Callithrix jacchus: one gene and its partner. The protein of the gene in region 2 binds, or shares a complex with, the protein of the main gene of each other region. Links are inferred from orthologs where the notes say so. Each region holds a gene or a part of one and is shown on either strand. Other genes may lie near its edges.

The links.
Region 1: the proteins of CDK5R1 (region 2) and CDK5 are in contact, whole or in part, in a crystal structure (PDB 3O0G), measured with the Homo sapiens proteins. The link is inferred for Callithrix jacchus from reciprocal best matches to the Homo sapiens genes CDK5R1 and CDK5. Residues at the interface, in NP_003876.1 of Homo sapiens: Trp190, Gln193, Thr197, Pro198, Ala199, Phe203, Tyr231, Leu232, Ser235, Tyr236, Met237, Gly238, Asn239, Glu240, Ile241, Ser242, Tyr243, Pro244, Leu245, Lys254, Glu255, Trp258, Asp259, Cys261, Leu262, Ile265, Asn266, Ser269, Ser270, Met272; in NP_004926.1 of Homo sapiens: Leu37, Asp38, Glu42, Gly43, Pro45, Ser46, Ser47, Leu49, Arg50, Ile52, Cys53, Leu54, Lys56, Glu57, Val69, His71, Leu76, Arg120, Asn121, Val122, Leu147, Arg149, Ala150, Phe151, Gly152, Ile153, Pro154, Arg156, Cys157, Tyr158.

What each region holds. Positions count from the first base shown.
Region 1 is NC_133512.1:97,154,606-97,159,587, reverse strand, and holds the start of CDK5 (cyclin-dependent kinase 5), read right to left. Parts: upstream 3,197-4,982; 5' UTR 3,151-3,196; coding exon 3,114-3,150; intron 2,490-3,113; coding exon 2,401-2,489; intron 2,305-2,400; coding exon 2,237-2,304; intron 2,143-2,236; coding exon 2,082-2,142; intron 1,983-2,081; coding exon 1,926-1,982; intron 1,160-1,925; coding exon 1,064-1,159; intron 930-1,063; coding exon 855-929; intron 697-854; coding exon 600-696; intron 424-599; coding exon 354-423; exon of another isoform or gene 102-353; intron 1-101. UniProt on the Homo sapiens protein: Proline-directed serine/threonine-protein kinase essential for neuronal cell cycle arrest and differentiation and may be involved in apoptotic cell death in neuronal diseases by triggering abortive cell cycle re-entry. Interacts with D1 and D3-type G1 cyclins.
Region 2 is NC_133506.1:101,620,021-101,625,035, forward strand, and holds the start of CDK5R1 (cyclin-dependent kinase 5 activator 1), read right to left. Parts: upstream 3,419-5,015; 5' UTR 3,382-3,418; intron 3,085-3,381; 5' UTR 2,942-3,084; coding exon 2,018-2,941; 3' UTR 1-2,017. UniProt on the Homo sapiens protein: p35 is a neuron specific activator of CDK5. The complex p35/CDK5 is required for neurite outgrowth and cortical lamination. Involved in dendritic spine morphogenesis by mediating the EFNA1-EPHA4 signaling. Activator of TPKII.

The DNA of each region.
Region 1 (4,982 bases), on a different chromosome or scaffold from region 2:
CACATGCTGATGGCCTAGTCTTCATGAACCAGTCCTGCCCCACTCCCACAAAACGTGTCCCTGCTCCCTTGGGCTCCTTCACCCTGGCATCCGTCTCTCACCTGGAGGGACATCCTCTTGACTTCGTCCCCCAGGGCACACTGCCCATCCTATAAGTGGCACCTTCTCCAGTGTGCATATGCTCTGTGACCATCAGGGCGTCCAGCACGCCTGCTCTCTCCCCTTGCCCTCAGGAGAAGCCCTATGGACCCCACCATCCCACCCCATATCATCACTGCCCTTGCCCATTGCGCTAAAACTCCATGGGCTCTCCCCTCCCAGAGGGCTCGAGGCAGAGGAAAATGGAAGGATATCGGAAGATCCTCTTTAACTGGTCATCAACATCATTGCCGGGAAAGAGAGGCCGCCCAGCATTGGCCAGCTCTGGAGGAAAGAGAGGGGCTAAGATGTGACATGTGAAGGACCCCTCACTCTGAGGGACTCCTGACCTTCCAGCCCGTCCCAGGGCCTCCCTTCCTTTCCCCAGCAGAGACCCTCCAGATCCTATTTGTCAACCCAAATGGGAAAGAAGGTGCCTCTGCAGTGCCCAAGCACATCACCTGCAAAGATGCAGCCGGCTGACCACATGTCGATGGACGTGGAGTACAGCTTGGCCCCAAAGAGGACGTCCGGTGGGCGGTACCACAGTGTAACCACCTGGAGGAGACCCCCCCCGACAGGGACCTCCCACTTAGAGGGCTGGGGAGGAGGTTCAAGGAGGAAGCTCAGAGAGGAGAGGAAAATAATGCTTTGGGTCCTGGGGTAGGAGCTGAGGGGCTCCCTCCCTCAACACCACATCCCAGCTGCCAGCTCACCTCAGCTGAGTAACAGCGGACAGGGATCCCAAAGGCTCGAGCCAGGCCGAAATCAGCTAATTTCAACTCCCCATTCTGAGGGGAATGGAAAGGGAACATGGCGAAGGGCCTTTGAGCAGCCTTGGGGCAGCACAGGCTCCATCCTCCCAGTCCTGTTCCCCCAGGCCCTGGTCCTAGCCTCCCCTTCCCCACCTTCTTCCCAAAAGTACCCTGTTGATTAGCAGGTTCTGGGGCTTCAGGTCCCTGTGCAGCACATTGCGGCTATGACAGAATCCCAGGCCTTTTAGCAGCTGGAAGAGGAATGACTGGGGGAAGAGCAGGGAGCAGGGAGTCAGACACCCTGAACATAACTGTGGCCAGCAACTGGCCGGCTCCTCTCCTCACCCTGTGCTTCACTACACTCCACCCACCTTCCAGCACCTGGCTCAGAGTGACACCATTCATTTGCCATCCAGGACCTGCTTTGTACTGTGCTAGGCATTTGAGGGACAACAGTAAACAAGCTGGCCCTGGTCCCCACCTTCCTGAACCATACAGCCTAATGGGCCTTGCCCAGTGGGTCCTAGATCTTGCCTAGATCCCAGCCCATGATCTTCCCTTCCTGGATGCATCTGAGTATGCACACCATGACCATCCACATCAATATCATGGTGTAGTATCATTCAGGACTGGCTCTCCTGGAACCTGGACCAAGGCATTTGATCTTGGGCCCAGAAAAGCACCTGACACCCAGTGAAGCATTCAGTAAGTATGTGTTGAATGAATGAATGTATCTCCTTGAACCTCATTTTCTCATCTCTCGGGTGTAAATATCATTGATGTTACTGATGTCAACATCATATGATGTCCCTCTAATGTGGCCAGATTGGTGTCTGAGAGCCACTGTGCAGGTCAAAGACAACCACGTGAAAATGCTCTCTAGGAGGCCCCTGCGGGGCAGAAACAGGGTTTTCTCTTCCTCTGACACCCTAGAGCGTGCCTGTTCAGGGCCCAAACTTGGTGCCCAAGGAGTGCTTACACTGAAGGCAGACTTAGACCCCAGCCTGAGGGGTCCCCCAACACTCTCCTCACCTTTACAATCTCAGGATCGAGGTCACCATTGCAACTGTCAAAATACTTCTTCAGGTCCTAAAAAGGGATATGAGTGGAGGAATGGGACAGAGTTTAACCTCAGTCTGGGCCCCTATACCTTCCCAAGGCTACTGTCCCCCAAATCCCGCCTTTCACCTGGTCACAGAATTCAAAAACCAAAGTTAGCTTCTTGTCACTGTGCAGGACATCATGAAGCCTAGGGCAAAAGAAGGGCTCAGCCAGGCACGTCTTCCTGACAAATGTCCCAGGTCAGCCCCCACCTCCCCCAAGCAGCCACACCTCCCGCACACCTGACGATGTTCTTGTGCTTCAGCTCCTTGAGTAAGCAGATCTCCCGGAGGGCTGAACTCGGCACACCCTGCATGTGTGAGGGGGCCAGGTGGGCAACAGTCAGATCCCACCCAGCCCAGGCCTTCAACCCCCTCCCCAGCCTCTATCCCAGTCCGCAGCCTACCTCATCATCGTCATCCAACCTCACCCGTTTCAGAGCCACGATCTCATGCGTCTCCCGATTTTTGGCCTTGAACACTGTTCCGTAGGTGCCTAGGGGAAGGAGGTCAGGGGTCAGGGGAGAGGATGGCGCACTCTTCCCTAACCCAGGAAATGCCTCCCCCTGGGAGGTGAAGGCAGCGTCTGAGTGTGCAAGGGAAGGGATTCAGGGTGAAGGCAGGTGGGAGAGCTTTATGAGTGAGGATGTGGCAGGTGGGGAGGGAGAAGGTGCCTGCGGAGGCTCCAGGGGCTCGGCAGGACGACTGCGGCTGCCAGGCAAGGATGTCTATAATGAAGGCAGTGCTCACTATAATGAAGGGTCTGGAAATAGTGAGGAGGTGTCTGGGAGAGGACTGAGGGTCTGCAGCAAGAACCGAGGCTGGGGGTCGGGGTGAGGTTGTCCAAGTGGTGCTGAGGCTAGGGTGAGAAATTCAGGAAGTGTCGCGGTTGGGAGGTCGGGTCTACTGGGAACGCTAAGGTTGGAGTGGGAGCCTACGGGAAATGCTAACACGGGAAGATTGGTGTCTGGATGGAGTGCTGAGCTCGGGGGGCCAGGGCTGCAGCCGCTGTTGAGGTCGGAGCCTGTAGGTACTGCTGACGGTAAGAAAGCCAGGGCTGCAAGGAATGCCGAAGGGTATGCAGAGGAGCTCTTGCAGGAACATCTCGAGATTCCATTACCTTCTCCAATCTTTTCCAGTTTCTCGTATTTCTGCATCGCGGCGGCCGCGGGGACCCTGCGGGCCCTCGGTTTTTAAGACTCTGGCCCTGGCGTTGCAGAGGAGGCGGTACCCCAGCCTCCAGCCCCGCCCCGCCTGCCCGCGCACGGCCTTCTGGGGCTTGTAGTCCTAAGACGACAAGGTTTCCCTGCAGTTCCCGAGGCCGAGGACAAGAAAACTACAACCCCCAGCCGGCTGCGCTCAGGCTCTCTGCAGCACTTGACTCCCGGGCTCTGGTTCCAACGCGGAGGCAAACCCTGGACTTCAAGTCCCAGGGAGCCACGCGTGTCCGTTTTCCGGGCGCCCCGCCGCTGCGCTGCGGTTCCCAGTGTGCCCCGCTGTTGTTATTTCTTTTATGTGTTCCCAGACCTCTTGAAAAGGGCCGCTCCGGGACTACGCGTTCCAGAATGCAGCGGGGATGGGGGCGGAGCGCTGTCCCTTAGGGGTTTGGGGTTTGGCGTTTGGCGGCCTAGAGCCCGGGCCCTGGCGGCCCAACTCTGACCTTGTTGGTGGCCTTGAGTTCCCGACGGCCTCCTGACGACCTCAGCACAGGTTTCCACCTCTCCCCAAGCCACCTAGTGACCCCAAGATTGACTGGGGAGTGCCTTTGAGCGATGATGACCTCACAGGGAACAGCTGACGGCAGGGCTGGAAATATAACAGGTGTGCCTTTTTGAGGCTGGATTTTTAGTGAAGGGGTACACTCCAAAGACCCTTCTCTCCGCTGCACCCCGTTTGTTGTCTCAGCCTTCACTCGACTCCAGCCGCTGAACTCTGATATGCTGAGGCTAGCTGGGTGGAGCCCTGGGGGGGGGTCTCCCTAGACCCCAGTCTCCGGAGCAGGGCCCACTGGAGTCAGCCAGGGTGTGGCCGGCAGGTTGGTTAACCCCCTCCACAGACAAGACCACAGACAGGTGCTCAACTTGCACCAGCCTCTACCTCATCCCTTAAAGGAGTTGATTATAGATTCCGTTGCATTGCCTCTCTAATTGTCTCATGATTGCATTCTTGAGGGCTATGGACTGAGGGAAAAGGATCCCAAACAGCGCTCCTCAGCATCGGAATCAGAGTTGCTGCCAAACACGTATTAACTAACTCGTTTTTATCTGAACGCTTTTGCATACACAATGCTATGCTTCACGTGGCCGACTGGAGAAAAGAAGCGAAAAGTATATGCCTTATCTGGAAGACTTGGTGATTTCGTTGGGTAAACAAAAACTACACACAAAGGTCTTGAATGATAAATGATGGCTATGGCTAGGGTTGATTCAGTGTGAAGGTTCCATTCAAGAGTAAGGAGGCCACCACAGGGAATCTCTGTCCCTCTCAGGAAGTGGGGGGGGCGCCTAACAAGTTGCCCTCTCCCAGGTCAGCTCAGGTACTGAGCGGGTACTGGGCAGCCACCCTTCTCACCCGCTCGCCACCTGAGGCTTTCTTGGAGGCACTGGACTTTCTTGGACGTACGGGGGTTATTTGAGAGCGGGGGGCGGAAGAGAATCTCGACCCCGGTACGTTTCTATTTCGACTTCCTCCGCCCCGAATTTCCTGGCCATCCTTGTGCCTGCGTTTTCCTGCCTGGAATCCCCAGCGCGAGGCGGGATCTTTTCCACTCAGAGGTGCAGTAATTGAGCCAAGAGACGGAATCCCCCGGACGCCTGAGCCCCGAGTAGAGAATCTCAGGGCAGAGGGACGCGGGGGCGGTTCCTAGTGCCGGCCTGTGCCTGGAAGCGCGCCCCCGCCTCGGCCCCTGCTCTCGGCCCCCGCTCCCTCCTCCCCAGCAGCCGCGGCGGGGCCGCGCACGGTGCGCCGGGGGGCGCGCACGCAGGGGGCT
Region 2 (5,015 bases):
ACTGATGACCAGTGCAAGGGGAGAGAACAAGACAGGCTTCACACTGAGGGAACTAGAGAGTTCTTCCCTTAGTCCCCAACCACTTCGAGAAATGTCCACCTCCTCCAAAGAATAAAAAAATAAATACGAAGAGAAGGAAACAGACACAAAACTGGAATCCTGTGGATGCAATTTAACCGCACAGTTCCAGGCCAGGTTCCACCAGCTGAAGGTGACTACACACATGCCCCCTCCTCCTGAGACTTGGCACCGACCCTCCCTCTTCCATGCCACCAGGGGCCTCCCACCTCGGGTCGCACACAGGAGCAGGATCTGAAGACAGGCTGTGTGGAAACCCCAGCAGAGAGGAGGTGCTGTGTGAAGTCTGTGCCAGCAGCCACAGGCTCCTTCCAGCGCCGTACCAATTATCTGACAGTCCCAGGAACGGCTCTGCTGGGCCTCAGGTGCAGCTAGGCAGATGCTCTCCGGCCGGGCAGGCACTCCTCCCCACCTCTGGGAATGCTTCCGGCAACCAGGTTCTGCTCCGGGCCTCTTAAATTGGGACTTCAATTTCACAGCTTTCTTTTTGTGTGAATTTCAGTAGTGCTTGTGCTGAAACTGGTAGCCACATCAAACCTAATCCTATGAAAAGTGACCCTCTGCTTCCCCACCCCAGGTCCCCATTCCAGCACTCCCCTGGGGACTGGGCCTGGAAGACAGAATTCTCTGTAGCGTCTTCACATTCGTCTTTGTTCTCCACAGCCGAGGGATGGGCCGTGGAGGAAGGCTTGCTCCCTCTCCCAAGTCCCAAGCCACCAATACGGGAGAATTAGAAAATCGATAAAGTACACATCTTGTGTTTTTACAGCCAGTAGGGTAAGGTGGAAACCAGAACCAGCAGCTGCAAATGATCAGTTGTAGAAATCAGCAGACTTCCAGAGCAATCAGGAGTCTCACTCCCTTCTGGTAATTGTCTCCAAGATCCGGCTGTGTCACTGGTCCTTGCCGGGCAAGGCTTCCTCTTTAGAAGAAACTTAACTGTTTGGAAACAGCTTTAAATTAACAGGGTGGGGGTGGGGTCACCACATCACCTAACCCCCAGCTCTGCAAGACAAACGTCATGTGCACCAACAAGAGGCCTGAGCCCTTAGGTGGGCACCAGCTTGGTCTCAGGCCTAGCATCCCTCACCTGCCTAGAAGGCAGGCGCTGCTAATGGGCACCTGCAGCTGTCCTGGCATTTGCCACAGGGTGACTGCGCTGCATTATTCGAAAGAAAAATTCACCCAGGAAAGTTGTCCCCAGCTTCACCCCACTTCTTTAGCTGGGACCCAAAATGAGAGAAATTAATGAGTCAAACCAGCTCATTGGCCAATACCACCAATGTGGCTGGGAGCAGCAGACAAGGGGGTAGGGGGGGCGAGTTCCATTTCTCCACTAAAGGAAAGCCCTTCTCCCTAAAAAACAGCAAATCAGGATGATGCATGGTCAAATCTTTGCACTAGACCTGCTCAGCTTTGCCTCGCCTAGATTGAAGATGTCCCAGAGGCAGAGATCTTGCCTCACAACCCTACTGGTGGCTCAGTGAGGGAGTCTGGCTCCAGGAGCCTCTGGGAGAATGAACAACTCCACACAGGAGCCAGAAAAGGGCCTCCAACCAGAAATCCCAATTTCCTCCCTGGGCCAGGCAGCCAGAGGTCCCTCTCCAGCTTCAGCCAGGGTGCAGCAGGCAGCCTTGCCCAACCTGGATCCAGCGAGGGCACAGACGGTAGGAGCAGGTCAGTCCTTTGAGTTCCCAAAAGTGGGAGGTCAGTGGCCCGGGTGGCTCTGAATACATCTTCTGGGTTTTGCTCAAGGCTCGTGAGTTCAAAAGTGCCCAGAGTTCTTGGCAGGGCTGAAAAAAACCCCAGGGAGAGACTGTGGGAAAGGTGAGGCCCTTGGTGGCTTTGCTAGACACATACTGTACACAAAACTGATTTGCTTAATAATAAATTTTTAAAAATGCATTGAATCCTTGAGCCATGACGTAGGCTACAGTGCTCACCGATCCAGGCCTAGAAGGAGCCGCTTCTTGTCCTCCTGGCCGCTCTCATTCTTCAGGTCAGAGAAGACCTGTGTGAAGTAGTGTGGGTCGGCATTTATCTGTAGCATCTTGGAGCTCATGAGGTTGATGACAGAGAGGCAACGGTCCCAAAAGGCCTCCTTGCAGCTCTCCACCAGGAAGGGCTTGAGCGGGTAGGAGATTTCGTTGCCCATGTAGGAGTAGGAGAGGTACAGGCAGGTCAGCAGGACGGCCTGGAGCTCGTGATCTGAGCCCACCTCCGAGGAGATAACATCCCTGCAGAGCATGTAGAGGAAGACCACGTTGGCCGGCGTGATGAAGCCCTGGTCCTGCCAGCCCTGCAGAAGCAGCGAGCGGTCCACGCTGCGCAGCCAGAGCACAGGGTCCGTGGGAGACAGGTGCTTCAGGCGGTAGCACCGGCGGCAGAGAAACTCACCCAGGCAGCGCAACAGCTCGCTGGTGGACGCCTGGACGATGACCCGTTTGGGCGTCCCTGCGGAGGTGACGGCAGGGTGAGGGGCCTTCTTGACCGAGGAGGAGCCCCCAGTCTGGGAGCCCGAGAGCTGGCTGGCTGGGGGTGCGGGCGGCTGGGCCGGTGGGGGCTGGGCGAATGTGGACAGGTTGGCGCACGACAGCGACTTCTTCAGGTTCTCATTGTTGAGGTGCGTGATGTTGTTCTGGTAGCTGCTGTTGGGCTGCACCTTCTTGGAGTTCTTCTTCTTGGCCGACACGGCCACGATCCTCTTCCACGGCAGCACGGAGATGATGGAGTGGCGCTTCAGGTTCTTGTCCTTGGCGTTCTTGCTGTTCTGCACGGCCGTGTAGTGGCCCACGGTGGCCGCGCCATCCTCAAATAGCGTGGCCTTCCGGTAGCTGGGGGACAGGGACAGCACCGTGCCCATGGTGTCGCTGCGCGCCGGGCGGGGGCTCGCGCCCCTGCGCGCCCAGCCTGCCAGCCAGAGGGAAAAAACCGCTCACCGAGCCTGTGGCAGCCCCGGAAAGAGACGGGGGCGCTCCCGGGACGCGTGCTGCCCCTCGGATCTGCCTGGAAAACAAGATGGTTCTCAACGCCAGGCGGGGCTCCACGCCGCGCCCCTCCGCCCAGCGCCTCGTCGGCCCCCGCGACCCCAGTCCTGGGCCCTGCCCGCGCCCCCGCGCCGCAGCCTCGTCGCCTCCACTGCAGCACCCCCGCCCGCCGCCGCCGCTGCGGTCCCCAGGCGCAGCCGGGAGGGGCCCGGGCGCCAACGGAGGCGGCCGAGGACCCCCGCCTCGACACCCCGCGCGGCCGCGACCCTGGTCCCCACTCCCCGGGGCCAAGGACGGCCGCCCAGCACAGGCTTACCCGGCAGGCGGCGGTTCCTGCGCTCCGCGCCCTCCGCAATGCGCGCCGCGGTTCTGCCGCCGCGGTCCCGGCGCTGGGCGGCGCTCGGGGGCGCTCGGCGGGGCTCGCTCTCGGCGGCGGCGGCTCGGGAGCTTCTGTCCAAGGTTCTGCAGGCGCCGCGGCCCCGCCCCCCGCTCGGCCGCCCGCACCTTCGCCGCCGCCACCGCCGCCGCCGCGCTCGCGCTCCCGCTCCCGTTCCCGGCGCGCGCTTCAGCGCCCTCCCTCGCCGGGCGCGCGCACCGTCCACGCGCCGGCCTGGTCTTGCCGGGGAGCCGCGGCCGTGAGTGTCCTCAGCTCTGGCCGCGCACGGTGCGGGTAGAACGCGGCGGCGAGCGGGAGGCCTCTAGGCGCCGGGCCCCATCTAAAAGCCAGACTCGGCGGCAGCAGCGGGACACGGGGCGCTCGACCGCCCCGCCCCTCGGGGCCGCCCCTCCCGCACAGCTCACCGCCCGCTCTGCGCCGCCGCCCAGCAGCAGCACCGCCACCGAGTCCTGGGCGCCCGCACAACCCAACTCTGCCGACGCGGGGCGGACGCCGCGCAGGGCGGGGCCGAGAGCCGACCCCGCCCGCGCCCCGCCCAGACACGTGCTGCCTTTGTTCCCGCCGCGGCGCCCGCAGCTGCCGGCCGCGGGGGAGCTCTCGGCTAAGTCCCCGCCCTGGCCGCGGGCGGCCCGCGGGCTCCGCCGAGGAATGGGCCCCTAGCTCCCTCCTTACAGCTGACATTCCCGTACCTGGGGAAAGCTTCCAGGGAATGCAATGAAGAAGGCCCTGGGCGGGGAGAGGAGAGGCCTTTACTGAGGCCGCCCGAGTGCCACGGGAACCCCGAGTGGACAGTCCAGTCGGTTTTGGCCACCCCTCCGGGGCCTCCGTTCCGTCATCCTGGGTAGATGCCTGCGGCCCGGGTGAGTCTCAGAAATCCAAGCCAGAGAAGCGTGGCCCGTAGCAGTTCCAGCCAACCACGAGCCAAGCCTGAGCCCATCACAAATAAGACCTCGAAGTTCCCACTCACCCTCTTGTTATATTAAAGGTGAAGCAACTGACTCTCCGACCAGCCTTCTTACCCTCTTAAACGTTTTGATTCTAAGTATGTATAACGTAAGAAGATGCTAGCCAAATTGAGTAAAATTCTGGTTCCAAAAGAGCTGTTCCTGTCAGATGTGAATCCAGATATCTCACCATTGTTAATTTACTATTTTTATTTTACCTTGTTTCTGGAGATTGATTCAAAACTGACCACAAACCTGGGAAACAGGAGACTTAAGCCCTGTCTTAATGCAGATAGTCTCTGAACCTAGAGATGAGGGAGTGGCACTCCAGAGGAGAGGATGACACCCAATTCCCTGACCACTCCAGCCCACTAGACCTGACCCTGCGCCAGCCCTGTCAACTGCCCTAGGAAGAACAGAAAAGGAATCTGGCATCATTCAAGATGCTGCAAGCAAGTCAGGAAGTGATAGATTTTGCTTATGTGCCACTCAGAGATTTCTGTCAATGGGGAATTCAAGGCTTTAGGAACCTTGGGGGGCAGGCATATAGTGGAAGATACATTGCTCATACTCAAAGGGCTGCTTTGCCCACAGCCCTTCAGCACATCC